5 linked regions of the Xenopus tropicalis genome follow. The protein of the gene in region 2 interacts with the protein of the main gene of each other region in a pairwise test. Links are inferred from orthologs where the notes say so. Each region holds a gene or a part of one and is shown on either strand. Other genes may lie near its edges.

Region 1 (4,737 bases), about 140 Mb from region 2:
CCCACTGCTACTATAGGCACCATCTCTCCCTACTATACCTGCTATCCCACAGCCCCAGTCCCTTCCCAGAGGCTATTATCCCCCCACTGCTACTATAGACACCATCTCTCCCTACTATACCTGCTATCCCACAGCCCCAGTCCCTTCCCAGAGGCTATTATCCCCCCCACTGCTACTATAGGCACCATCTCTCCCTACTATACCTGCTATCCCACAGCCCCAGTCCCTTCCCAGAGGCTATTATCCCCCACTGCTACTATAGGCACCATCTCTCCCTACTATACCTGCTATCCCACAGCCCCAGTCCCTTCCCAGAGGCTATTATCCCCCCACTGCTACTATAGGCACCATCTCTCCCTACTATACCTGCTATCCCACAGCCCCAGTCCCTTCCCAGAGGCTATTATCCCACTGCTACTATAGGCACCATCTCTCCCTACTATACCTGCTATCCCACAGCCCCAGTCCCTTCCCAGAGGCTATTATCCCACTGCTACTATAGGCACCATCTCTCCCTACTATACCTGCTATCCCACAGCCCCAGTCCCTTCCCAGAGGGCTATTATCCCACTGCTACTATAGGCACCATCTCTCCCTACTATACCTGCTATCCCACAGCCCCAGTCCCTTCCCAGAGGCTATTATCCCCCCACTGCTACTATAGGCACCATCTCTCCCTACTATACCTGCTATCCCACAGCCCAGTCCCTTCCCAGAGGCTATTATACCCCCCACTGCTACTATAGGCACCATCTCTCCCTACTATACCTGCTATCCCACAGCCCCAGTCCCTTCCCAGAGGCTATTATCCCCCCCACTGCTACTATAGGCACCATCTCTCCCTACTATACCTGCTATCCCACAGCCCCAGTCCCTTCCCAGAGGCTATTATCCCACTGCTACTATAGGCACCATCTCTCCCTACTATACCTGCTATCCCACAGCCCCAGTCCCTTCCCATAGGCTATTATCCCACTGCTACTATAGGCACCATCTCTCCCTACTATACCTGCTATCCCACAGCCCCAGTCCCTTCCCAGAGGCTATTATCCCCCCACTGCTACTATAGGCACCATCTCTCCCTACTATACCTGCTATCCCACAGCCCCAGTCCCTTCCCATAGGCTATTATCCCCCCACTGTTACTATAGGCACCATCTCTCCCTACTATACCTGCTATCCCACAGCCCCAGTCCCTTCCAGAGGCTATTATCCCACTGCTACTATAGGCACCATCTCTCCCTACTATACCTGCTATCCCACAGCCCCAGTCCCTTCCCATAGGCTATTATCCCCCCACTGCTACTATAGGCACCATCTCTCCCTACTATACCTGCTATCCCACAGCCCCAGTCCCTTCCCAGAGGCTATTATCCCCCCACTGCTACTATAGGCACCATCTCTCCCTACTATACCTGCTATCCCACAGCCCCAGTCCCTTCCCAGAGGCTATTATCCCCCACTGCTACTATAGGCACCATCTCTCCCTACTATACCTGCTATCCCACAGCCCCAATCCCTTCCCAGAGGCTATTACCCCCCCACTGCTACTATAGGCACCATCTCTCCCTACTATACCTGCTATCCCACAGCCCCAGTCCCTTCCCCGAGGCTATTATCCCCCACTGCTACTATAGGCACCATCTCTCCCTACTATACCTGCTATCCCACAGCCCCAGTCCCTTCCCAGAGGCTATTATCCCCCCACTGCTACTATAGGCACCATCTCTCCCTACTATACCTGCTATCCCTCAGCCCCAGTCCCTTCCCAGAGGCTATTATCCCCCCACTGCTACTATAGGCACCATCTCTCCCTACTATACCTGCTATCCCACAGCCCCAGTCCCTTCCCAGAGGCTATTATCCCACTGCTACTATAGGCACCATCTCTCCCTACTATACCTGCTATCCCACAGCCCCAGTCCCTTCCCAGAGGCTATTATCCCCCCACTGCTACTATAGGCACCATCTCTCCCTACTATACCTGCTATCCCACAGCCCCAGTCCCTTCCCAGAGGCTATTATCCCACTGTTACTATAGGCACCATCTCTCCCTACTATACCTGCTATCCCACAGCCCCAGTCCCTTCCCAGAGGCTATTATCCCACTGCTACTATAGGCACCATCTCTCCCTACTATACCTGCTATCCCACAGCCCCAGTCCCTTCCCAGAGGCTATTATCCCCCCACTGCTACTATAGGCACCATCTCTCCCTACTATACCTGCTATCCCACAGCCCCAGTCCCTTCCCAGAGGCTATTATCCCCCCACTGCTACTATAGGCACCATCTCTCCCTACTATACCTGCTATCCCACAGCCCAGTCCCTTCCCAGAGGCTCAGTACTTACATGATGATGATGATGATGGTGGTGGTGGTGATGTCCCACATCGTCATCATCTTCATCATCTCCATCTTCATCATTGATGACGACAGTGCGCACCAGTTTCCTCATAGCGACCTCCTATAGAGACACAGAGTCAGTTTTGGTTCTGGGCAAATCCTTCCGTATGTGACTGATGTGCAACTGAACCCCCCCCCGACTTCTCCAGTGGGCGGAGCCAGTTTGGGAGTTTGACACCCACCTCATTGTTAGACGTGAGCAGCGCGGTGCGAATACTGTCGCCTGTTCCCCAGGAGCTCTGGGCCTTCCATACTAAATCAGTGGGGGGGTTATTTGTGGCTCCGGCGCCTGATGCCCAGATCTGAAAGAGAAATGTAACTTGTTATCTCCTTACTGTCAGTCTTGTGCCTTTATATGGGCACAGAACCCCTCAGTGACTGCTAATATCCTTATCATTTACAGTAGGGGGTACATTATCCCTTATAATACATGAGTGATACTCAGAGTTCCCTGTATAACTCAGCCTGCAGCCTTGTGCCTTTATATGGGCACAGAACCCCTCAGTGACTGCTAATATCCTTATCATTTACAGTAGGGGGTACATTATCCCTTATAATACATGAGTGATACTCAGAGTTCCCTGTATAACTCAGCCTGCAGCCCTTTGCCTTTATATGGGGGGCACAGAACCCCTCAGTGACTGCTAATATCCTTATCATTTACAGTAGGGGGTACATTATCCCTTATAATACATGAGTGATACTCAGAGTTCCCTGTATAACTCAGCCTGCAGCCCTTTGCCTTTATATGGGGGGCACAGAACCCCTCAGTGACTGCTAATATCCTTATCATTTACAGTAGGGGGTACATTATCCCTTATAATACATGAGTGATACTCAGAGTTCCCTGTATAACTCAGCCTGCAGCCTTGTGCCTTTATATGGGGGGCACAGAACCCCTCAGTGACTGCTAATATCCTTATCATTTACAGTAGGGGGTACATTATCCCTTATAATACATGAGTGATACTCAGAGTTCCCTGTATAACTCAGCCTGCAGCCTTGTGCCTTTATATGGGGGCACAGAACCCCTCAGTGACTGCTAATATCCTTATCATTTACAGTAGGGGGTACATTATCCCTTATAATACATGAGTGATACTCAGAGTTCCCTGTATAACTCAGCCTGCAGCCTTGTGCCTTTATATGGGGGGCACAGAACCCCTCAGTGACTGCTAATATCCTTATCATTTACAGTAGGGGGTACATTATCCCTTATAATACATGAGTGATACTCAGAGTTCCCTGTATAACTCAGCCTGCAGCCTTGTGCCTTTATATGGGGGGCACAGAACCCCTCAGTGACTGCTAATATCCTTATCATTTACAGTAGGGGGTACATTATCCCTTATAATACATGAGTGATACTCAGAGTTCCCTGTATAACTCAGCCTGCAGCCTTGTGCCTTTATATGGGGGGCACAGAACCCCTCAGTGACTGCTAATATCCTTATCATTTACAGTAGGGGGTACATTATCCCTTATAATACATGAGTGATACTCAGAGTTCCCTGTATAACTCAGCCTGCAGCCTTGTGCCTTTATATGGGGGGCACAGAACCCCTCAGTGACTGCTAATATCCTTATCATTTACAGTAGGGGGTACATTATCCCTTATAATACATGAGTGATACTCAGAGTTCCCTGTATAACTCAGCCTGCAGCCTTGTGCCTTTATATGGGGGGCACAGAACCCCTCAGTGACTGCTAATATCCTTATCATTTACAGTAGGGGGTACATTATCCCTTATAATACATGAGTGATACTCAGAGTTCCCTGTGTAAGGAAATGAATGCATCTGTCTCCCAGCAGAGGGCGCTCTAGTACCACATAAGGCAGACAGACCATAAGGAGCAGCTCGGGGCTCCCTGATTATTTATTTATAAGGAACAGAACACAGTGCGGAGCTTCTGGCTATTGGGAGGGAGGGGGATAATTACAGAACCGACCCAGTTTCCTCCTGATACAGACTGACCCCCCCCCCCCCCCAGTACAGGGGCCCATCTTTATGGATCAGGTTCAGTAAGATTAAAGCTTACAGGGTAATTACAGTGCCCAGTTGCCCCACATTCATATTTATAGGACCAGTAACACCATAATGAGTATAAATATATATAATGTTTCCATTTATATCTGCCCCTGTCCGACAGTACCTGCACTGATTATTCCTTCAAGCAAATGGCCATAGGAAAGAGAGCAGCCCAGGAGCAAGAAGTACAGAGAATCAGAGCTCTGTACCTGGGTAAGTACTGGGGGGGGATTGGATTCACTTACCCAGGGGGAGGTTCCTGTCTGACCATGGGAAAGAGAGCAGCCCAGGAGCAGGAAGTAC
Region 2 (6,367 bases):
TTGCTGACAGGGGGATGGGGTACCTGAGGTTACTGACAGGGATTTGGGGTACAGTTGGGTCACTGGGATATTGCTGACAGGGATTGGGGTACAGTTGGGTACCTGAGGTACTGACAGGGATTTGGGGTACAGTTGGGTCCCTGGGATATTGCTGACAGGGATTTGGGGTACAGTTGGGTCCCTGGGATATTGCAGACAGGGATTTGGGGTACAGTTGGGTCCCTGGGATATTGCAGACAGGGATTTGGGGTACAGTTGGGTCCCTGGGATATTGCTGACAGGGGTTTGGGGTACAGTTGGGTCCCTGGGATATTGCAGACAGGGATTTGGGGTACAGTTGGGTCCCTGGGATATTGCTGACAGGGATTTGGGGTACAGTTGGGTCCCTGGGATATTGCTGACAGGGGTTTGGGGTACAGTTGGGTCCCTGGGATATTGCTGACAGGGATTTGGGGTACAGTTGGGTCCCTGGGATATTGCAGACAGGGATTTGGGGTACAGTTGGGTCCCTGGGATATTGTGACAGGGGGGACAGTGGGTCCCTGGACAGGGATTTGGGGTACAGTTGGGTCACTGGGATATTGCTGACAGGGGGATGGGGTACTGACAGGGATTTGGGGTACCAGTTGGGTCACTGGGATATTGCTGACAGGGGGATGGGGTACTGACAGGGATTTGGGGTACCAGTTGGGTCACTGGGATATTACAGACAGGGATTTGGGGTACAGTTGGGTCCCTGGGATATTGCAGACAGGGATTTGGGGTACAGTTGGGTCCCTGGGATATTGCAGACAGGGGATTTGGGGTACAGTTGGGTCCCTGGATATGCTGACAGGGGTGGGGTACAGTTGGGTCCCTGGGATATTGCTGACAGGGATTTGGGGTACAGTTGGGTCCCTGGGATTTTGCTGACAGGGATTTGGGGTACAGTTGGGTCCCTGGGATATTGCTGACAGGGATTTGGGGTACCAGTTGGGTCCCTGGGATATTGCTGACAGGGATTTGGGGTACCAGTTGGGTCCCTGGGATATTGCTGACAGGGGGATGGGGTACAGTTGGGTCACTGGGATATTGCTGACAGGGGGATGGGGTACCTGAGGTACTGACAGGGATTTGGGGTACCAGTTGGGTCCTGGGATATTGCTGACAGGGGGATGGGTACCTGAGGTACTGACAGGGATTTGGGGGTACGCAGTTGGGTCACTGGGATATTGCTGACAGGGGGATGGGGTACCTGAGGTACTGACAGGGATTTGGGGTACAGTTGGGTCACTGGGATATTGCTGACAGGGGGATGGGGTACCTGAGGTACTGACAGGGATTTGGGGTACAGTTGGGTCACTGGGATATTGCTGACAGGGGATGGGGTACCTGAGGTCCTGACAGGGATTTGGGGTACAGTTGGGTCACTGGGATATTGCTGACAGGGGGATGGGGTACCTGAGGTACTGACAGGGATTTGGGGTACAGTTGGGTCACTGGGATATTGCTGACAGGGGGACGGGGGTACTGAGGTACTGACAGGGATTTGGGGTACAGTTGGGTCACTGGGATATTGCTTGACAGGGGGACGGTGGGTACCTGAGGTACTGACAGGGATTTGGGTACAGTTGGGTCACTGGGATATTGCTGACAGGGGGACGGGGTACCTGAGGTACTGACAGGGATTTGGGGTACCAGTTGGGTCCCTGGGATATTGCTGACAGGGATTTGGGGTACCAGTTGGGTCACTGGGATATTGCTGACAGGGGGATGGGGTACAGACAGAGATTTGGGGTACCAGTTGGGTCCCTGGGATATTGCTGACAGGGATTTGGGGTACAGTTGGGTCCCTGGGATATTGCTGACAGGGGTTTGGGGTACAGTTGGGTCCCTGGGATATTGCTGACAGGGGTTTGGGGTACAGTTGGGTCCCTGGGATATTGCTGACAGGGGTTTGGGGTACAGTTGGGTCCCTGGGATATTGCTGACAGGGGTTTGGGGTACAGTTGGGTCCCTGGATATTGCTGACAGGATTTGGGGTACAGTTGGGTCCCTGGGATATTGCTGACAGGGGTTTGGGGTACAGTTGGGTCCCTGGGATATTGCTGACAGGGGTTTGGGGTACAGTTGGTCCCTGGGATATTGCTGACAGGGGTTTGGGGTTACAGTTGGGTCCCTGGGATATTGCTGACAGGGTTTTGGGGTACAGTTGGGTCCCTGGGATATTGCTGACGGGATTTGGGGTACAGTTGGGTCCCTGGGATATTGCAGACAGGGATTTGGGGTACAGTTGGGTCCCTGGGATATTGCTGACAGGGATTTGGGGTACAGTTGGGTCCCTGGGATATTGCTGACAGGGATTTGGGGTACAGTTGGGTCCCTGGGATATTGCTGACAGGATTTGGGTACAGTTGGGTCCCTGGGATATTGCTGACAGGGGTTTGGGGTACAGTTGGGCCTGGGATATTGCTGACAGGGGTTTGGGTACAGTTGGGTCCCTGGGATATTGCTGACAGGGATTGGGTACAGTTGGGTCCCTGGGATATTGCTGACAGGGATTTGGGGTACAGTTGGGTCCCTGGGATATTGCAGACAGGGATTTGGGTACAGTTGGGTCCTGGGATATTACAGACAGGGATTTGGGGTACAGTTGGGTCCCTGGGATATTGCTGACAGGGGTTTGGGGTACAGTTGGGTCCCTGATATTGCTGACAGGGATTTGGGGTACAGTTGGGTCCCTGGGATATTTGCAGACAGGGATTTGGGGTACATGGGTCCCTGGGATATTGCTGACAGGGGTTTGGGCAGTTGGGTCCCTGGATATTGCTGACAGGGATTTGGGGTACAGTTGGGTCCCTGGGATATTGGACAGGGTTTGGTTACAGTTGGGTCCCTGGGATATTACAGACAGGGATTGGGTACAGTTGGGTCCCTGGGATATTGCTGACAGGGATTTGGGGTACAGTTGGGTCACTGGGATATTGCTGACAGGGGTTTGGGGTTCAGTTGGGTCCCTGGGATATTACAGACAGGGGGGTACAGTTGGGTCCCTGGGATATTACAGACAGGGGGTACAGTTGGTCCCTGGGATATTACAGACAGGGGGTACAGTTGGGTCCCTGGGATATTACAGACAGGGGTCAGTTGGGTCCCGGGATATTAAGACAGGGGGTACAGTTGGGTCCCTGGGATATTACAGACAGGGGGTACAGTTGGGTCCCTGGGATATTACAGACAGGGGGTACAGTTGGGTCCCTGGGATATTACAGACAGGGGGTACAGTTGGGTCCCTGGGATATTACAGACAGGGGGTACAGTTGGGTCCCTGGGATATTACAGACAGGGGGTACAGTACCCCATGTAAGTCACCTGATTCTGAATCCCAGGAGGCGGCTGCAGCCAGTGAGTGACAGGGAGGGGGGGACACGGGCGGATTTGCCTCAGTCCCAGCGGGGGGAGCTGCCTCCATGTTGTTGGTTGGTGCTTCAGACAGACCAGAGGCACTAACTGTGCTTTTCCCGCTCTTTTTGTGCCTGGAGGCGTGCCTTATTTCGATTGGCTACTGACCCCAGACTGGGAAGGAAAGTTCTCCAATAGAATTGTGCTGTCCCTGTGTGCCCCACCCACAGCAGTACAAACCTACAGGTAACAAAATGGAGTCCAGGTCCCCCCCAGCAGGGAAAGAGTCTGTGAGGCCTGACACTTGCACAGTGCTCTCACCCCACACGTACCCTTCATATGTGGGGGGCACCATTACTGCCCCGAGGGGCCACCATTACTGCCCCGAGGGGCTCATTCTCTGGTACCAGCACCAATTGGGCTTCTCTGAGTTATCTGATATATAGGCTGGTGGGCCCTCTATCTGGGTTCATTCTCAGCCTGAGACTCACTCACCTGCTGGGCCCCCAGCTACTACTACTTCCCCAGGGAGAGGGGCCCCCCCAGCCTTTCTCACTCACCTGCTGGCCCCCCGGCTACTCCTACTTCCCCAGGGAGAGGGGCCCCCCCAGCCTTTCTCACTCTGTGTCACTCACACACCTGCTGGCCCCCCGGCTACTCCTACTTCCCCAGGGAGAGGGGCACCCAGCCTTTCTCACTCTGTGTCACTCACACACCTGCTGGGCCCCCGGCTACTCCTACTTCCCCAGGGAGAGGGGCCCCCCAGCCTTTCTCACTCTGTGTCACTCACACACATCCTGGGCCCCCGGCTACTCCTACTTCCCCAGGGAGAGGGGCCCCCCCAGCCTTTCTCACTCTGTGTCACTCACACACCTGCTGGGCCCCCGGCTACTCCTACTTCCCCAGGGAGAGGGCCCCCCAGGCCTTTTCACTCTGTGTCACTCACACACCTGCTGGGAGGCCCCCGGCTACTCCTACTTCCCCAGGGAGAGGGGCCCCCCAGCTTTTCTCACTCTGTGTCACTCACACACCTGCTGGGCCCCCGGCTACTCCTACTTCCCGGGAGAGGGGCCCCCCAGCCTTTCTCACTCTGTGTCACTCACACACCTGCTGGCCCCCGGCTACTCCTACTTCCAGAGAGGGGGGCCCCCCGCCTTTCTCACTCTGTGTCACTCACACACATCCTGGGCCCCCGGCTACTCCTACTTCCCCAGGGAGAGGGGCCCCCCAGCCTTTCTCACTCTGTGACACTCACACACATCCTGGGCCCCCGGCTACTCCTACTTCCCCAGGGAGAGGGGCCCCCAGCCTTTCTCACTCTGTGTCACTCACACACATCCTGGGCCGGCTACTCCTACTTCCCCAGGGAGAGGGGCCCCCAGCCTTTCTCACTCTGTGACACTCACACAATCCCTGGGCCCCCGGCTACTCCTACTTCCCCAGGGAGAGGGGCCCCCCAGCCTTTCTCACTCTGTGTCACTCACACACCTGCTGGGCCCCCCAGCCTTTCTCACTCTGTGTCACTCACACACATCCTGGGCCCCCGGCTACTCCTACTTCCCCAGGGAGAGGGGCCCCCAGCCTTTCTCACTCGTGTCACTCACAACTGCTGGGCCCCCCAGCCTTTCTCACTCTGTGTCACTCACACACATCCTGGCCAGCCGGCTACTCCTACTTCCCCAGGGAGAGGGGCCCCCCAGCCTCTCACTCTGTGTCACTCACACACATCCTGGGCCCCCGGCTACTCCTACTTCCCCAGGGAGAGGGGCCCCCCAGCCTCTCACTCTGTGTCACTCACACACCTGCTGGGCCCCCCAGCCTTTCTCACTACATGTCTCTGCGTTGCCTCACTAACCTGGCGTGCATGGGAGATACCCCCTCCCTGTGCAATTTAGTAATTACCCACAACCTCTTTGTAACACAGTTATTAGTTCTCACAAAGACGTTTGTGTGTGGGATGTAGGTTCCCCCAGAGAACAGATCTGATCTATATATTCTATATTCTTACCATAACAGACTGAATAAGGCTGAGTAGCAGCTATGGATTACTGCACTGCTGCAAAGCTACAATAAGGAAATGCCTATCTGCTCTTGTACACACCCCGACAGCCAAGCTTCAACGGCCATTAGGCTGAGATTTGGGGTAATCTCCTATTTGCACCCCTAGATGTTCTCAGCAGGGAGTCCAACAAAGCAATGCTTCTCTACATGTGGAAGCATTGTATGAGGGGCCCTGACCCAAGGTTGGACCTCCCAGGGGGGCTATAACTGCCATTCTGAGTACATGTAGGTAAATAAGGACAAGTATTTGTGCCCCTGTGTGACTGGCAGCACAAGGGTGGGGGGCAGTGGAGGGGTCACATGGTACAGCTGCCTGTGTTATTGGTGCTTAGATCCTGGGGGACAAACCATACCCGGCACCACTATATACTGAGAGATTGCGCCTTTATTACTATCCAATCTACTGTGCCATAAAGCAGTACCCGCTAGCCCTGAGTCTGTGCCAGTCGCTGCGGGCAGGGGGCTGACAGGCAGCCAGGGAAGGCACTTGGTTCCGCCAGTCAGGGCAGAATATCAGCCCCACAATCACTAGTCCCACGGAGTCCATTTGCTGTACCCACGCCGGGCCTTGAGATCTCAGCACCAGAGTCTGGAACCCAGCTCGGAACCGAGCCCACCGCCACCGTTTGGGTCCCCTGGGAAGTCGCTGGGACAGGGCCCATATCCCACAGGTAGATCAAACCTACTGCCCCAGGAGGGGCAATGCACTGAAACCTGCTCCACACCCCATGATTAGTCCAGGGGCCCCGGCTTTATCAACTGGTTCCTCATTGTCAGTTTCCTCATGGGCGGGGCCTAATCCAATCACACCGGCAGCGCCTTGGCCACGCCCCTGCGCATCATGCTCCCGCACAGGCTGCCGATATAGCGCCTCCCTAGGGCCCCGCCGGGGATCAGGCCCAGGAGCAGCCCGGCCGCGGTGAGG
Region 3 (5,908 bases), on a different chromosome or scaffold from region 2:
CGTACCGTTATCGTAAGTTTTGCGACTTTTTCGGAGCATTCGTACCGTTATCGTAAGTTTTGCGACTTTTTCGGAGCATTCGTACCGTTATCGTAAGTTTTGCGATTTTTTCGGTGCCGGCGAACCCAAATTGCGAATTTGCGGACTTGCGAACACCCGATGTTCGCGCGAATTAGTTCGCCGGCGAACAGTTCGCTACATCTCTACCTATCTACTGTACAGCGCTGCGTACATAAGTAGCGCTTTATAAATAAAGATATACATACATACATTCTTAGCAACATTTAAATTGGTCTTCATTTTGTATTTTTTTTATAGTTTTTGAATTATTTGCTTTTCTTTTTACTCTTTCCAGTTTTCACTGGCCCCAGCAGCCTAAAATCTCTGGCTTGGTGAGGCTAAAATACCATCATGGGAAAACACGTTTTTTTCAAAATTAATCAGTTAATAGAGCTTCCCCAGCAGAATCCTGCACTGAAATCCGTTTTTAAAAAATACAAATAGATTTTTTAGATTTAATTTTGAAATTTCAGATGGGGCTAGCCATATTCTTCATTTCCCAGGGTGCAATAACCATGTGACCTTTGTGCTGATAAACTTCAGTCACACTTTACTGCTGCGCTGCAAGTTGGAGTGATATCACCCCCCTCCCAGCAGCAAATCAGCACAATGGGAAGGCAGCAAGATAGCAGCTCCTAGTAGATATCAGAATAGCACTCAATAGTAAAAAATCCAAGTCCGGCTTGGGACTCCTCCAGTTACATGGGAGTAGGAGACGCAATAGGTTATCTGAAAGCAGTTCTAATGTGTAGTGCTGTCTCCTTCTGAAAGCTCAGACTCAGGCACAAAGCACTGAGATGGCTGCCTATATACCGATATTATAACTAAAAATATACATATATTTATTAGTTCAGGAATAAAATTTTAATGTAAACAGTGTAATTTAGAAATAAAAAGTACACCATAAAATCATGACAGAATCCCTTACTGTGGAAAATATTTAACTATTAAGATTTTCTCTGACTTCCCCAGTTTGATATTTAATAAATAAGTTCCTTACCAATGTCCTTAGTGATTCTGTCTCTGCTTGCAAGCTCTGGATTTTACAGGTGGTGTCATGAAACTCTTCCTTTAGATTTTCTGCCAATTCCTCCACCTCATCTTGTGCAGCTGGCAGTGCGACTGACTATGGTTGGGGAAAATACAGCACAATAATTGTAAAAATAACTGTGCTAGTTTGCACTTACATACTGTACGTGAATTCCTGAGAATTTCTCATTTTGATCACTTTTTTCTAGTACAATCAATGTGAACTCACAGCTGCAGCTACTCTTGATTGCTTGAGCCAATGAATGTCTGGGTATATGATTCTAGCAATTTGAGATGGCTGTACCTCATATGGGCATGGGGTGATGAGATGTACAGCAAAACTTGAATTGTTTTTTGTTTTTTTTTATAAATAGCCATACTGCACCAATAGTATCCATTTTGCACTTCTTTGCAGAGATTGGCTGAAAGCTTCAGCTGGCTGAGGGGGAATTATGGCTGTATGAGTGGATGCAAGTCTCAGGAGATAAACAGTCTTTGTTTATTGCAGGAGCTAACAACATGACTGAAGATTTGGCCAGAGGCTATAGTATTTTGCTGTACTAGAGGCCATTTACAGTTATGTTATCTTTTACTTTATTACTTTCTCCCTTTGCAGGTTCTAGGTAAAACAACAAAATTTGTACAGTGTATGGTCCAAGAGGCCTGGATTTACTTTTAAAAAACACAAGTTTTGCTGGTTACTCATTTAAAGAGAGACAACAGAGGAGGAAGCCAGACCTAAGGCGAAAGCTTAGATTGTGGACAAGCAGCACAGGTAAACAATAGAAATTGGCGAGAGAAAGGGAATGTTTTGGTGTGCACTGAGATATGAGGAGGACATTAGGCTGTGCACTTGTAAATTGGCTAAGGAGGAGCACCACATAGGCATAATGGATGTCTGTCTGTCTTTGTCAAGTTTCAAGGTTAAAAAAGGCCTTTTTAATTTAAAATTAACGGATTGCTTTTCAAATTAGAAACATCTATATCCAATTTACTTATTAACACAGAATAAAGAAGGAATAGTGAAGTTACAGCACAGCACACAGTGAATGCAATCAATCGGAAAAGGGTGTGCTCTGATGATTGGATCCATCTCTATATGCCAAAGTAACGTTCAAGTTAGATGTAGAATTTTTCAAAGACAGGCAAATGCGGTAAAATCCTTCCTGCAGTTCTCCTTACATTATATTTAGCCTGAAATATGGAAATCTAAATATTAAACATTTTGTTATGCTATGTACATGCCTGCTATTTATTCACTGGTGAAATGCTAGAACTCTATAAAACTATGGTAAATACATTATGCAGCATATACATGCTGTATGCCAAATAACATACTTTTGTTTGCAGAAGGACACCTGTCTCAGCTCTGTTTTTCTCAATGTCTTTCTCCCAGTGGATCCTTATGGTTTCCAGGATGTCATCAAGTCCAGTACCAATTGGCACATCCATTTCTTCTAGCTGAAATCCAGCCAACTGTTTATACAGCATCTTTACGTCCTGTAAAACACACAGTCTATGGCCCAAACTACTCCTAAATAAGAAGGAAAGCTACTGATGCAGTTTCTTCCCAACAAATTAGCCACAATAGTGCAAGCTAGAACCCTATATTTATTCTGTAGAATGCTTTACCATAACTGGTTAAACAGCCATAGAAGCTGCCATTTTAGCTTGGTCTTATTTTACTTCCTGTCTACATCTCTGTACTCTGTGCTCACATTACAGCAGAGATGGGAGAAGGGGGAGTGAGTGAGGAGCAAGCTGAGCATGCTCATGCTGAGCCCTGGAGGTTTGAGCTAAAAGAAGGAAGAACCGAAGAACACGTGTACTGAATAGAAGGAAAGAAATGCTGTGTATCTTGTGACAGAGGACTCAGAGTAGCATTAAGGTCCCCATACACGTGAGATTGAGATCGCCAAGCAAGCGGATCTTCACCCGATATCCCCACCTACGGGATGGGCGATATCGGGGAACATGTAGGCTAATGCGATCGTTTGGCCTTTGGGCCAAATGATCGAATTATATTGGTGGCAATGGAGCAGTCCACCCAACTAGACTTTTAAACCTGCCCGATCAAGATCTGGCACTATTATTGCATGCAGCAATGTTATAGACATACATGCTAGATCAGTAATAGAAAACTTATAGCCTTCCAGATGAAATACAATAATGGACATTTTAATAAATATTGGAAAGGGTCTATTAGACCTTGCATAGGCTATAACTTTTCTCTAAATGTATGCATCACTTTAAAGGAGAAGAAAAGTCATTTTGGCATTTTACTGCCAATAGATTCACCACATTACTGCCACCTAAAATGCTATATTTATTCTGCAGAAAGCATTACCATACCTGAGTAAAGAGCCCTAGAAGCTTTCTCTGTTTGCTTAATATTGCAGCTGCCATTTTAGCTTGGTCTTCAAAGCTTCCTGCTGTATAACTCTAGCTGTTATAGCTGAATACAACCCTAAGCATCCCACTGACAACTGAGCAGTTAAAGAAGAGCTAGTGTTTCGACATGACAAACAGGAAGCTTATTCTATACCCATAATCTTTGAGGTAAATGCAGGGGGGTGGTATGGGAGGGCAGCATTAGGTCTGCTGCTTTAGACAGCAGAAGACCCTGAAAAACCCCTGATTTACCTTAAAGGGAAACGAAAGTCAAAGTCACTTGGGGGTGCCAAAATGTTAGGCACCCCCAAGTGACTTTAACCGCTTACCTCGTACCCCGGGCTGGTGCCCCTGTTAGGAGAAAACAGCACCAGCCCGGGGCACCTGGAGCGCAGCGCTTCCGTCTTCCTGGCTTCCTTTTCCTGAGTGCCAGCGGTGGGCGCATGCGCAGTAGAGTGAAAAGCCGACTTTAACATTTAAGTTCGGCTTTTCACTCTACTGCGCATGCGCGCGCAGCGAATCAGGAAAAGGAAGCGCCGGCAGCTACCCCGGGCTGGTGCTGTTCCTTCCTCACAGGGGCACCAGCCCGGGGTAAAAGGTAGGCGGTCAAAGTCACTTGGGGGTGCCTAACATTTTGGCACCCCCAAGTGACTTTGACTTTATTTTTCCTTTAAGTCAAATATTATTATTCTGCTACATGCTGTGTGCTTTAGCATTTCATGAAAGAAAATACAGAATCAAATTAACAACTCGATTGTTAACATTGGTTTTCCAACTAAATAAAGAGCTCTTTCAGTTGATTTTCACCAGTCTGGGCCAATTCATTTTCTATAGGCAGGCAACAGAATTGGGGCCAGTTATTATTTCTGCTCAAGATAAAGCATTGATATTAGAAATGAATTAATTGTTGAATATGGAACCTGCCAAAGAAGCCATACCCTCTTGTTTTAATTAGCTGGAAAGGCTCATTTATAAAAATGATACAGGTGCTTAAATAATGACTGTAATGAGTAGATCACGGTCTTTTCTGTTACCTCCTTATGATTCTTTGACAAAGAAGCCAGATCTTCCTTCATGCTTTCTATCTGACTTTCAAGATCCTTTTTGGTCAAGTTTGCATCATCTATCACTTTGTACAAAGACCGGATCTCCTCCTGAATTGCCTTTCGAAATGGCTGCTCGTTCTCATACCTAACATTTAAATAACAGTTATGGGGGAATGTAATACAACAACAGGATACAGATGTACAAAATTAATAATAAAGACATTACTTTTTCAGTGCAATACTGTTAATTGGACGTAATTGTTGAATCAGGTCCGATTGGGCTGGGTTGCCTTGAAAAAGAGATTGTGGCAGTAAGGTGTTATTGAAATTCCCTGGAGTGTCAGTGTTGCTGCATTACCACTATCACTTTATGAATTAAAAGGCATATGTTACGCCATTTTTAAACACAAATTTTTATATATTTTTTAATGATTCTGGCACCCCAGGAGCCAAAACGTAGTTTGAGTATAAGGCTTCGTTTTTTTTCTTTTGTACTCTGTAATTTGAAGGAAAACGGGTGCATAAAGGTAAAATTGTAAATTGCTTCTCAGAGCAGTGGCATAACTGTAAGGGAAGCAGACCCCACAGTCACTGGGGGGGCACAGGGGACAAAAATAGTACAGGTATGGGATCCCTTATCTTGAAACCCGTTATCCAGAAAGTTCTGAATTACGGAAAGGCCATCTCCCATAGACTCCATTATAACAAAATAATTCTAATTTTTAAAAATGATTTCCTTTTTCTCTGTAATTATAAAACAGTACCTTGTACTTGATCCTAACTAAGATATAATTAATCCTTATTGGAGGTAAAACAAGCCTTTTGGGTTTATTCAATATTGAAATGATTTTTAGAAGACTTAAGTTATGGAGATCCAAATTACGGAACGATACCTTATCCGGAAAACCCCAGGTCCCGAGCATTCTGGATAACAGGCCCCATACCTGTACAAAAAAATCCACCCCCAGCCGCTCTCTTACCTGCAGATGGGGAGCAGAGGACACTGATATAAGGGTAGCGGGGGACACAATGGGACAGAGGGGCTAACAGTGGGTGGGTGGAGTGCTGAGTCAGAGTGACTGTGCACCGGGCCCCTCCAAAATTTCTTTTTGCTGGGGGGCCGGGTGCCGACTTGTTACACCACTGTCTCAAAGGCCTCTTTGAAGACGTTTTCTCTCCATTAGGGATAGTTTTCTTAAATTAACAAGGAAATGTGGTCATAATCATATTTCATCATTCCTAGAAGAGAGTTCTGTGATGATCATAGTAAGTTATTGGCATCCAAGAGATTTATTGATAAAGACCTTGAAGCCTTAAGGTGGCCATACACGGACCGATTTTTTACTTACAAACGACCGATTCCCGAACGATCCGATGCTATC
Region 4 (6,529 bases), on a different chromosome or scaffold from region 2:
ACTTGAAAGTGCCCTTTGTACCAATGGCCTTTCTGTAGAGAGAAGCCACTTTCCTCCTAAATATGTTGCTGTAGAAATAAATGAAAATGCAAATCAACCAATGACATCAGGATCATATAAGCCATAACCTAATAAGTAATCTATCCTGTAATAAAGAAATAGACACCACAGGAAATATGAATATTATACATCCAGATTTTTGGCACACTGCTGGCCCCATGAGTTCAGTGACAAAGAGACACATTTAGTTGTCACACCAGGAGTTAACATTCAAATGTTCAAAGCATAACTTTTTTTTACCTTTGTATATAATTATACTATAATTTTGGACAATCAGTCCTTAAAAAATAAGTCTAGCAACCCAGTAACAGTTTCAATAATACCATAATCAATATTGCTATATATAATATATATAATATTGCTTTTAGGGTGTAATGCTATAACAAGCAGAGGTTACAAAGTAGAGATTATCTTTAAGCACAGAGATCAAAATGATCGTATCTTGTGAGCAATATAAAATAAAACAAATGCTGTTTTTACAAATATTTAGTATCCACACTTTTACATTTTATAGTGTCACCTTTTGCAGCAATATTAGCTTTTAGTCTTCTGACATATAAATCAATATTACACATTATTTTGGAGCAAACTGGACCCTTTTTTAAGGCTAGCTTGAATCATTAAAGGGGAACTCCACCAAAACACAACTTGAGTTTTTTGAGAAGAAAATATCATTTCAAGCAATTCTGCAATATGTAATTTAAAAAATATGCAGCATTTTCATAATTGTGTATGTATTACTATGGTTTGGAACAGTTACTAAGCCTAGCACCCTGTTCCCCTGCTGATCTGGCTGACTACTTTGTAACAGTAGTCGACTGTCCTCAGCCTGCCTTCAACCTCCAAATCCCACAATCCCTGCACACATGATATCAATAAGGAAAGAAACATCACAGTGCAATGCATTGTGGGTTATGTAGTTCCTGGTTGCTGTCTGTAACCTGTAGAAAAGTTGTTATAGCATTCATAACATTAATGTTTAGTCCCACCCCCTGCCAGCATTTTAAATGATGCATTAAGAGAACTGTTTTGGAGTTGGATTTCAGCATATAAAAATTGTATTTATTCATACATTTTCAAGAAACCGATTACAGTGATAGGTATATTAGGGGTTTCTGTGCTGTGTGAGGTGGTGTGTGGTTTGGAAGCCAGAGTTTCCCTTTAATGTTTGGATCCTTGTGTTTCTAAAAGATCCTTGTCTTGCTAATAAAGAAACATTTGCCCATGCCTCAGTTATCTTTTTGTCGCGGGCGACTAATCTCCCCGTCTACCACGGCCATAAAGAAAAGCAGACCCCACACCAATATGTTACTACCACCATATTTTACTGTTAGTAAACTATATCAAGAGCTCCTTATAACACTTCAGTTTTCCAAAAAGCATGAAAGTAAGCCACCTGTGACATAACAAATGTGAATTTATAGAATAGGCAGATAGAACAGTCACATTATGGTACTTTGCTTTGCTAGTTAGTCATATGGACCCTAAAGGGACAACTATGGCTTTTGTTTTTGTTTTCTCTATTTTACTTTATATTAGTTATTTTTCTCTGTATACTTTTTGCCTGACCCATGGATATGGGCCAATACTATTGGTGCCAGTTTTAAAAGTAGCACAAGTGAAACAGCAGTTTTTTTCTCTGGTAATCCTTAAACAATAAAACCTCAAACTTACAATATTCGGTGCGTGTATGGTATGTCGGCGAGTCGACCGATATCGCAAGAAGCTGCTGATAACGGCCAACTCGCTGATCGGACCAGTTTGAACATTTTGATCGGGCGCCATAGAAGGCGCCTGACCAAAATCTCCCTTCAGCGCTGAATCGGCAGGAGGTAGAAATCCTATTGTTTCTACCTCCTTACCTGCCGATTCAGCCCTGAATGGTGTGTGGCGGATCTGACGATGTTTCGTGCGACCGATGGTCGCCACGTGTATGGCCAGCTTAAGGTGGCAACCCTATCTAGTGCAAAAAGTGCTACTGTGCTCTCTGTGATAGCGATGCACTAGCCCCTTCTGATGCAAAAAAAAAAAAAATGGTCTCAGGGTGGCATTATAGGTAAAACACCTCTGCCCAGGTCCCTTCTATAATATACTTTTATAAAAGTAAAAAAATTGAGCAGCCACTGAATACAAGGTTTGTAATAATAATTAAAAAAAAACCAACAACCCTGCAGCCAGCAGGAGAGGGCTGAGGCGACACATTATGCTCCCTGTACAAAAGAGTTTGCGGCACCCATAACCAGTTCATTTGTTACTGCACTTCCCTTCCTGCTCAAAAGCTGCAATCTGCTGCCTACTAATACAAACGAATTAAGAAACTCATCTGGCATTGAGTGGGTTAAGTCTAAAAAGCAAGTGCTTTGAGTGGCGTTAGTCACATGAATACGTCGGAAACAGAAGCAGTTCTGTAGTCACTGAATCATTATTAAGCCAGCAGCAACTTTAGCCATGGAGGTTTTATAAGCAAGAGAGGTTCTGTGTGCCGCTCTGGCTTCAGTCTTCTCTATGGTACGGAAGGAATCACATGACAGACCATGTCACAACACAAGGTAGTGCAGTGAGCAAGGGGAGCTGGGCTGATGGATGAAGACGGGCTGCCTATAGTGGGCTCTGGGATTGACCTCACTAAGGTGCGTCTTTTAGGGGGAAGTGAAGGGGAATGGGCAGATTTAATGTGTATTGTAATGTGTGTTCATGTGCATTTTTCTAGTCAGTCAGCTCTACACTAACCTGTAGTCATTAAGGGAAGGCAAGTTACACTTTTACTGTGTATTCATTCATTTTATTTACTGTGCAGTCATGATATTGGTACTGTAATGTTCTTAGCATATCCATATGGCTCCTGTCTTAACTGACCTGCTGTCCCATATACTTGATTATTTACTGTTACTGCACTTGTCTGTAGCTGATGTTTCATAGTGCTTTGTGGTGTTACACTTGCTGTAAAGATGTCCAGTTGTTCAAATTGTGGCTAGGCTTTTCCTTAATGGCACATACATCATGTGTTTCAAAAAAAGCCATTTCCACGAAAGCATTGGTCAGCTCCATTCAGACTCAGACACAATCGGGCTTGTTTATGGCTGCAGTTGTGATGGTGCTAATCAAGGATGCAATCATTAAGAGATTCATTAAAGGTATTTGTGCACTTGCTTATATTTGAACTAAGTAACCTTGTGCCTGTCTGTGCATCTAATGATGCAGGGGAACCCTAGTGCTACCTCTAGCTTGCAGGTGGCCGTAATTCCAGGGTTCCCATTGTGAGCTGCATCAACAGGCACAGCAAACTTACACCCAAAAAATCACATGCAGGTGTCTTTTTAACACAGAGTGGTGGAAATAATGCAGTAGCCTCTACAACTATTTTAATCACATTTGCGTACTTCAGAAGCAGTAGCCCTCTCATTAAGGGTGAAGTCACACTGAGCTACTAGTAGCAGCTACTTTTTCACAGCTACTAAACTCCAGAAAATACCTTGCCATAGACAATAACGGTGAAGGCACACAGAGCTACTTAGTAGCAGCTACTTGTCAAGGCTACTAAATGCCAGAAAATACCCAGCCTTAGACAATACCGAGAATTGCCCCTGCTAAAACATACGTAGAGACAGTAGCCACGACAAGTAGCTGCTACTAATAGCTCTGTGTGTCTTCATCTTAACACTGAAGTACATTGCCTCTTCCGTTTATAAAACATCTCCGCTGGCTTAAGGTCTTAAAAATGTGTTTTTCAAAGGGCTTTATTATGTCATACTGCTGCTTAATAATCCCAGGGATACAGCATCCCTGTTAACAGCGAAGCCCTTCTACCCACTATTATTTTTTGATTAATCCTGTAGACATAACTGTCCTTTGCTGTTGTGCAGAGGACTCTGGTTAGAAGTGTATACACACAGCTAGTATACACGGCCGTCAGCCATGGGCTGCAGAGTGAGATATCCTAATTAACTGGGCTTCTGTATCTTCAGGATTGTGGAATAATTCTATGGCATTTGTTTGAACTCACACTTTTAAGTTTAGTTACCCTATGGAGAATTGGATAAAATCTCTTTTCATTGCAAACTATTAAATCCTTCCCTCAATATCCACTCTTTTTAAAGGTGTGTCTCAATGATGTGCACTAACTAACCCCGATTGTTCAGCTGTGTAAAGGTGGCCATACATGGTAAAATTCACTTGTATGATGGCGTCGCTTAACAAGTGAATCTTTCCCCGGATATGCTCACCTTGAGCGGGTGATATTGTGCTAATGTGATTGTTTGGCCCTAGGGCCAAAAGATTACATTAAAATGAACGGGATATGAGAAGTTGGAGCAAGTACCGCATTAATGATCGGGGAGTCCTGTCCCAATACACAGGCAGATAAGCTCGGTCTAAAGGATCCGAATTAGCAGCTTAAATATGTTGTGTATGGCCATCTTTACATCTTGTCATCCTCGAGCAAGGAGCCCTGCAAAGATGCAGGCAGCTGTAACTTCAGAACTGCAAAAGTGCCTCTGCTGGTCATTATGTGCCAGGCCCCATAGAGTTATTCTGATTAGAGTTTTGGAAATATTGCCTTGGTCAAAAAGCCTTTCAGTTTGTCATTAGTAGGCTAGTTCTATTAAACATTTCACCACTCATCGGAGGAGCTTCTAATTCAAGTTGCTTTAGATTTAACACAACTAGGTATTGTTTTCCATGGCCTGGATGAATGAACCCTTTATATACCTGTTCAAACTAATATCCGTTGCTTGCACTGTGTTCTATACCTTTTGCAAATGCAGTATACTGACCTTTTTTCTTTTATTTAATAAACCCTAGGTCCCACCTATTCAGCAGAAAAGAACAGTGGCATTTTTGAACCAGTTTGTTGTGCACTCTGTTCAGTTCCTTAACCGGTTTGCTACAGTTTGTGAAGAGGTACTGTATTCCTAGCGTGTTCTAGCTTTCCCTCTTTTCTACAGCATTGACTGGAAACCAAGTGCTACTTAGTCTATTGCAGCTTGCACTGTTCAGATGAGAGAATGTTATGGTAAATGTTATCGTTTGAAATCTCAGTACATGTACATTTTGGGGCTTTCAGGTAATTTAATGGCTGCACGGGCTTGGTGGGAGCTTACATTACATTGCCCATATGAACAGGGTCTTCTCTATATGCTGCATAGGCCAGTGATCCTATTTAATTTGCATCTTTGATTATTTACCCCTCACAGAGCTACAGAATATGTCCATTATTTAGACCTTTAATGTTGGTACTTTGTTTTTATTGTTTTAGAAACTTTCTGCCTTGTCCCTACGTATTCAGCAGATTGAAACAACCCTTAATATTTTGGAAGCAAAGGTATGTACTTGTGTGGTATGTTTCAGCATAGTGTATTTCTCATATTATTTTACCGTTCAGCAAATAAAATCTGTATTAAAGGAAATGTAACACAACCTTTTTAAATTCAATATATCCTTTCTAAATACTTTTATTCGCAAATATACAATAGAAAGATTGCAATAGCATATTTTTTTTTTTTTTTAAATTACTTTGCCATAGATTTACTGAGCTCAGGCAGCGCATTTCTCCCAAGCGCATTTCTCCCAAGCGCATTTCTCCCAAGCGCATTTCTCCCAAGCGCATTTCTCCCAAGCGCATTTCTCCCAAGCGCATTTCTCCCAAGCGCAGCGCATCTCTCCCATGCAGCACTCGTAACAGACACAACGAAAGAGGAGAAAAGGTCCGTCTCCTATCCATCTCTGTGCCAGATCACTAGTAGCCTATTAATCACTTTAAAAAAGGACTCTGAAGAATGCACTAAATGAACTTCTGGATTAGACTGGAAGTCTACCCAACGCCATATTGCCTTTTAAGCTTGGAAGTGAAAATTTTGTGTTACTGTTCCTTTTAAGAGGTTTCAAGTTGAAATTTCAAGAAGAGTAAGTTACTTCTGAAATGTAAGCCTTTAAAGTGCTCGATGGCCTTGGTGCCTGTAGTGAATCTCCGAAAGCCTAACTACAGCTGGAACCTTGGTATACTGCATGCTGATAATATTTCAATATATCAAGCATGACCAGTGAGATCTCACAGAGAAATGGTCTTGACTCTTATTTGAAAGCTGAAAAGAAGCATCAACATGTTCAGAAACCATATATGTTTGTCAGGTTACATGGAGGGCTGTACTGAGTGGGTAAAACTCAGCTGTCGAAACAGGGGTCACATACACAGAAATATTAGTATGTAAGGGGATACACAATTCTTTACTTTTCATCGTTAACTAAATCTATATCTGGCTTTATAACTGCAGTTATAAAGAACCTACTTATTTTTTGGGCATTTTGCCTGATGTGTTTCTACTTGTCAAAATGCCCAAACCTACCTAAGAAGAGGATCCATTAATACCATGTTTGCTAGCTCTTGCCAGGTCTCTTCTATGAAAGTAACACTTTTTCTCTAAAGCTCTAACATCAAGAAATGTGTTTGAAGTTGTTACTTAAAGGCATGTAC
Region 5 (5,908 bases), on a different chromosome or scaffold from region 2:
CCAATGCCACATGGGGCGGATTCTTGGCCTGTGGATAAACGCAGGCTGAGAATCCTCCCTTGCACTCAATAAAGCTTATGGTTGTGTCTGCACTGTGTACTGTACCCAGGCACAATGGCTCCAGGTGCAGGCCCATCAATAAGCTTCTTTAAATGCAGGGGTGGGATCTGCCCTGTGAGGCACTGGCTTTAACATTGAAGACATAATATTTACATATGTTTAACCCAAGGCAACTTGAATTTTGGCTTCTTCTGTCTTTGTGTTTATTTAAAAAAAAAAACCAAAAACATTAAAAAATCTTTGCTTACGAAAAGCATCACATCACCATTGAGTAGGATCTCTTACAGCAACTTCCTCCCACTGTCAAAGTCACTGTGGGAAGAAACCTTATTATGTAGACTGACTTTTCCTTCTCTCCAAATGTGTTGTTTCTTTGTGTTTCTTTCCCCATAAGCACCCTGGCAGATAAGAAGTTTTGTCGCCTGCAGTAAATCTTTGCAACTGCGGACAACAAATCTCCCAAAAATGCCTTCTCATTGCCTAACATTTGGACCTGGCAATGTACACAATGTTGTAGGCAAAATTGAGTAATGGCTAAAAGGTAACTAGAGGTTAAGATGGAAACAATAACAACAAAGGATTTCCGAGAATAAAAGAAATTAGTACTTGTGTATGAGGATTTAAAATACTGGAATAGGGGTTGAATTCAGGAGTGTTGACATTATATATCAGCAGAAAATGAATGAAAAGTGATATATCTGTGCTGATATACTGTAGGTATATAGAATTTCTTGTGTAATGGAATGCTGAGGCCAATGTTATCTGTTTTGTATTTGTGGTACTAGTGGTGGGTGTGGTGTTATATGAAGCCAGTAAAGGATTAGAAGGTGGGTGGAAATTAGGATTACAGAGGTTGTTTAGTGAGTAGAACTTCTTTGGTAGCAGTACAGGCATGAATCTCAATTGGAGCAAGTGAGGGCCTGTCCATGACCTTCTCAACTGTTTTTGGCTGATCTGGAGGCATCTTTAAAGGCATGTAAAGCCTACATTTGCCTACAAGGTATATCAGTTGGGCATGTCACCCCCACCATAATGGCATTATTTGTACTGCATATATCCCCCTCCATCACCATCACATTTTCCTAAAGCAAATAGCAGCTTTCACACGGTGGCCATTTTTCCTCTGATGCATAATCAGATACATTTATATCTGCAAACAGCATACACACACATACCCTTATTCAGCATTCAGCTGAGCTCAGGAGAGGAGGTTAGGAGAAAAAAAGAGAAGCAGACAGCTAGAGCTGAGTTTATATGGAAACCAGCAATGCCATCTCTTCACTGGCTGCTAGTCTGAAGGATGTGTTTAGTAATCTGAGTTTAGAACAACTGAGCATGCCCACAAGCCAATAGCCAAAGCAAATTCCTGATGGGAGGGGGCCCAAGTGGGTTTCAGGAGGAGAAGGAAATCTAAGTGATTAAGGGTATGTTGCAGCCTTCCTATTAACCTCTGGACAACCAGAGTGGCAGGTATTGAAAGATTTCAGAGGCTGTTCACTGATTACATTTTTGTGTGTGGGTTTTACATGCCCTTTAAAGGCAGCAAGTTGAAATAGTGTGCCAAAGTTGGATTAGCTGTGGGCCAGAGTAAGTGTAAGGGTACAGTTGAAGGGGAAAGCATGTGATAAACTGCAAATTTGAGAATGCTCAGGTTGTATGATAATTGCCTTATAAATAGGCACTAGGACACATGGTTAAGTGAGCAAAGGCAAGTGGACTAACACCAGGGGGTGTAAACAAAATAAAAAAAATCCAAACAAAACAGGGACATGAACATCCAGTTAGGATACCTTAATCTTCCCTAATAATAAAAGAGAATCTCTAAAACTATGTCAAAGCATATATATTTTTCCATAAGCAGGTTGTTCACAGGTGTGCATATTTACAAAAGGAACTTGAGCTACAGCCTGAGTTATTCCAAGGTTCCCATAGCAGGCTGCGTCAATAGGTGCAACAAATGTAGAGACACTTGCAAAAGACACAGTAATGCCATTTGAATAATGCAATCCCCACAATGAAATTTTGCACTTGCTTCAATTTTGTTGTATCAGATACTACTGTGGTTAAAGGAACAGTAACACTAAAAAATAAAAGAGCTTTAAAGTAATAAAAATATAATGTACTGTTGCCCTGCACTGGTAAAACTGGTGTGTTTGCTACAGTAACACTACTATAATTTATATAATAAGCTGCTGTGTAGCCACGGGGGCAGCCATTCAAGCTGGAAAAAAGGAGAAAGGCACAGGTTACATAGCAGATAACAGATAAGCTCTGTAGAATACAATAGTGTTTTATCTGTTATCTGCTATGTGCCTGTGCCTTTTCTCCTTTGAATGGCTGCCCCCATGGCTATATAGCACCTTATTTATATAAAATTATAGTAGACTTTCTGAAGTAAACACACAACTTTTACCAGTGCAGGGCAGCAGCACATTATATTTTAGTTACTTTTATACACTTTCATTTTTTGGTGTTACTGTTCCTTTAAGACAAGCCACAATGACATTGAAGTTGTGGGTAAAAAAATGGCAAATTGCAGCTAAAAATTGCACACTGCACTCACAGTCGTAAATGGGACTTTATATGTCAAATATGGTGACAAAATTGTCCACAGTGTACCGCAACTGAATTTTAATCCCACTTTACCTTCTGTAGATCAACTTTAAAACCATACCTAAAAAATGATTTTGAATGATGTTCATTATAAAAGTCCATTGCTTCAGTTCTGTAAAAAAGAATAAAGAGATGTTACAGCTGCATTTCTTTTCCTCTTTACCCCTGGCAAATTTTGTCTTATATTTTACATTAGGGGATACACTATACAGATGAATGAGTAAGATTTGGCACCCATGGCCAAATAACACATCTAAGCTAGTTTAAGTGAAATCAGCAAAGTAAAGAAAAGAAACTGTGTGTATGTAAGTACGTACGTACGTACGTACGTACGTACGTACGTACGTACGTACGTTATCCACGCCGTTATCTTTGAATCTTGGACAATTAAAGGGAGTGCGGACAGTGTGAGGTATTTTTATTTATATATATGTATAAACACACACACACAATTTATTCACTTTGTCCAGCCTTACCCTCTGTATTGTGTACTTTAACTTATGACAGTTTCTTTCAGCCCATTTCCAGTTCTAGGCAGCTAATATAATGGGGGTGGATTTGCAGAATTGATATGAACCACACTGAGAAATAACCGCAAGCTAATATAATTTACTAGAGCTTAATGACACCATTAAAGTAAAGCACATCAAAGAGAGGTATAAATGCTGATTAAGGTGGAAAAACAAACACTGGTATTTAACATTGTGGCTGATCTGATTTAAGAAAGTGGATAAAAAAATACTAATTTAACTTTATGAGACAAACAATAGGGCAATAGCTGTCATTCACTACCAGCTGAGGCTAATTTAATATGTACTGGTTTCTAACTAAAACTTTCCATGCCGCCTCTTGTCATGGGACACATCTACAGTGGTGCTGTCAAAGGGAGGCAGTGTTCTCAGATTCAGGTATTTCTCCATTGGTGGACATAGGCTGGCAGATACAACTGTCCTACCTACCTTTCTGATTTGAAAACATGGACATTTTAGAAAAAGACTTCCATAATTTACCCAAATCTGGTCCCCTCTGGGTGCTTCATTCTTCAGGTTAACTTTTAGTATGCTATAGAATGAACTGTTCTTAGCAACGTTTAAATCGGCCTTTGTTTTTTGGTTTTTTTTTATAGTTTTTAAATTATTTGCCTTCCTCTTCTGACTCAAGAAAGATGCTGAACAACAGGCTAAATAATTAAAAACCCACAAATAAAAAATGAAGACCAATTGTAAACTGTTTTGGAATAGCACTCTCTAGATCCTATTAAAAGTTAATTCAAGGCTGATGGCCCACAGAGTTAGTCGCCCGCAATAGATCTCTGCTACTGTGGCGACTACCTGCTCCGAAATGCCTTTCCACCAGCGACAACAGGAGTCTCCGCTGGAGAGGCCTACGCATTGCTTTGGCTTCCAAAGTTGCACAAAGTTTCCTCCTGCAGGCAACTTCACGCGACTCTGGAAAGCCGAAGCAATGCACTGGCCTTTCCACCGGCGACTTGTTCCGTGAACAACCCCTTTAACTAATTATTAACTTATTACCCATAATTTATAAAGTTCCAACATATTCATTTCAAAATATGCAAAGAAATTACAGCACAACTGCATCAATTTTATCATAATATTTACCTTAAGAGCAAAACCATTTTAGCCTTTGAGATTACAAACCCTGAGTCCAGTATGGCTTCAATAATTGAACCCATTTTTGTTACAGCATCTGGTTTTATCAAAGCTAATGTTCTGCAATAAAGAAAATATAAATATATTTTAGAATGCATTTGCTTTAGGTAAAACAATGTATTAGCATTTTCTATTTCTGCAAGCTTTTGAGAATTTATTACTGTAATCAGCTGCAATTTTAGCCACTGTCTCTCAGGCTGGCTCCTGAAAAGCTTTCCCTCCCTCTTTTATTGTCTGGGTTAATATCCAGTTACAAAAAGCAAGAAAAAGGTGTCAGGCACTCTCTATAGCAGGGACAACTCTCTGGATTTTCTAATAGCTCATATTAAAAGATACCATAAATTTGTGCCAACATAGGCATTTCTTTTGTGGCAGGCACAATTCTGCAGGCTGTTTAGAGTGGACTATAAAATATAAGAGTAACTAAATTAAAGACAATGTAGATCTTAGTGCTACACATTTCCTGATGAAAAGTATTTAAAAAAAACATGCATATAATTTAGTTTTCTGTTATGCAGCACTTTACAATCATTTATAACAAACCAGGGTCTTACAATAATTTAACAAACAAGGGTTACAGAATAAAAGAAGGATAAGAAGGTCAAAGCACAAAGTACATACCCTTTTAATGGCCTTTAATGGAAAGATTCGCCCACCCCTGTCATTACAGTGTATATAGCACAAAAGGTGAGTGCACTGGCCAACAGGATGTCTTACCACAAGCTACAAGCCAAAAAGTAGTCCCAGTGTTCATATGCTTAATCCAAGCATGTTACTATATATTAGAACCACAATCATGTGGTAGGAGCCCATTTGCTTTAAGCAAAGATTATCTAACAACATAGCTTATATATTGTGTTGAGACTGTGATTGTAAAAAAAAGTCTGCATAGTAGATTCACAGCAAATTATAAAGCCAAGATCCACTTACTTTTCCTTCTTGCTTCCAACCTTTCGAGAAGTATATTGATCTGCGTAGTCAATTAAATGAAGGTGCCGTGAAAAAACATTAATTTTGTTGCCCACAAATAAATCATCCTTACAAATTTCATCATATTTTGTTCGTCTTAAAAACACTCGATGGTTTTTAATGTCATACTGTAAAAAAGAAATAAAAATTGGGCATAGCCAAAATATTTAACACAGGAGATCACATAGATTAAATCCATCAGTTTTCAAGTTTAAACGTTTCAAGTTCTTTAATTTATAATAATCTGATGTTTTAAATGTGTCTTTTTAAAACAAGAAGCACTCACTAATAAATATATAATATATAGGTAATTATGTACAAGCTATCAACTATAGACAGCAGGAAAAAATTATTGTATTCTAAGAAAAAGTTATTGGTATAAAGATGTACATCATACTGCAAACAAATAAAATTCTTAGAAAGTATTTTACAGCAAAAATTATAAATAACATGTTAATAGCTAATGTTATGATACATGGAAAAAAAAGATTTAATCTCTGGTGTCAGTATCTCTTTAAGGGGAGATATCAAAAAATTGTTTCCGGCACAGGGAAACAATTTTTATTTAAAAAATTGCCCTCCCTCGGACCAGCTTT

What was found.
Region 1: the proteins of syce1 (region 2) and lmna interact in binary tests that used the Homo sapiens proteins (3 or more experiments, as listed by UniProt). The link is inferred for Xenopus tropicalis from reciprocal best matches to the Homo sapiens genes SYCE1 and LMNA.
Region 3: the proteins of syce1 (region 2) and bfsp2 interact in binary tests that used the Homo sapiens proteins (3 or more experiments, as listed by UniProt). The two-hybrid records come from large-scale screens. The link is inferred for Xenopus tropicalis from reciprocal best matches to the Homo sapiens genes SYCE1 and BFSP2.
Region 4: the proteins of syce1 (region 2) and washc3 interact in binary tests that used the Homo sapiens proteins (3 or more experiments, as listed by UniProt). The two-hybrid records come from large-scale screens. The link is inferred for Xenopus tropicalis from reciprocal best matches to the Homo sapiens genes SYCE1 and WASHC3.
Region 5: the proteins of syce1 (region 2) and nme7 interact in binary tests that used the Homo sapiens proteins (3 or more experiments, as listed by UniProt). The two-hybrid records come from large-scale screens. The link is inferred for Xenopus tropicalis from reciprocal best matches to the Homo sapiens genes SYCE1 and NME7.

The regions. Positions count from the first base shown.
Region 1 is NC_030684.2:142,915,010-142,919,746, forward strand, and holds part of lmna (lamin), read right to left. Parts: intron 2,707-4,737; coding exon 2,587-2,706; intron 2,466-2,586; coding exon 2,352-2,465; intron 1-2,351.
Region 2 is NC_030684.2:647,157-653,523, reverse strand, and holds the start of syce1 (synaptonemal complex central element protein 1), read right to left. Parts: upstream 4,298-6,367; 5' UTR 4,098-4,297; intron 3,942-4,097; 5' UTR 3,452-3,941; coding exon 3,352-3,451; intron 1-3,351. Other genes in the region: sft2d3 (SFT2 domain containing 3), read right to left, coding at 6,247-6,367. UniProt on the Homo sapiens protein: Major component of the transverse central element of synaptonemal complexes (SCS), formed between homologous chromosomes during meiotic prophase. Requires SYCP1 in order to be incorporated into the central element.
Region 3 is NC_030682.2:52,661,393-52,667,300, forward strand, and holds part of bfsp2 (phakinin), read right to left. Parts: intron 4,672-5,908; coding exon 4,515-4,671; intron 2,590-4,514; coding exon 2,428-2,589; intron 1,187-2,427; coding exon 1,061-1,186; intron 1-1,060.
Region 4 is NC_030679.2:49,097,984-49,104,512, reverse strand, and holds the start of washc3 (WASH complex subunit CCDC53), read left to right. Parts: upstream 1-2,572; 5' UTR 2,573-2,639; coding exon 2,640-2,690; intron 2,691-4,860; coding exon 4,861-4,959; intron 4,960-5,314; coding exon 5,315-5,380; intron 5,381-6,529. UniProt on the Homo sapiens protein: Acts as a component of the WASH core complex that functions as a nucleation-promoting factor (NPF) at the surface of endosomes, where it recruits and activates the Arp2/3 complex to induce actin polymerization, playing a key role in the fission of tubules that serve as transport intermediates during endosome sorting.
Region 5 is NC_030678.2:55,291,905-55,297,812, forward strand, and holds part of nme7 (nucleoside diphosphate kinase 7), read right to left. Parts: intron 5,441-5,908; coding exon 5,274-5,440; intron 4,404-5,273; coding exon 4,293-4,403; intron 2,786-4,292; coding exon 2,735-2,785; intron 1-2,734. UniProt on the Homo sapiens protein: Possesses an intrinsic kinase activity. Displays 3'-5' exonuclease activity with a preference for single-stranded DNA. Does not seem to have nucleoside diphosphate kinase activity.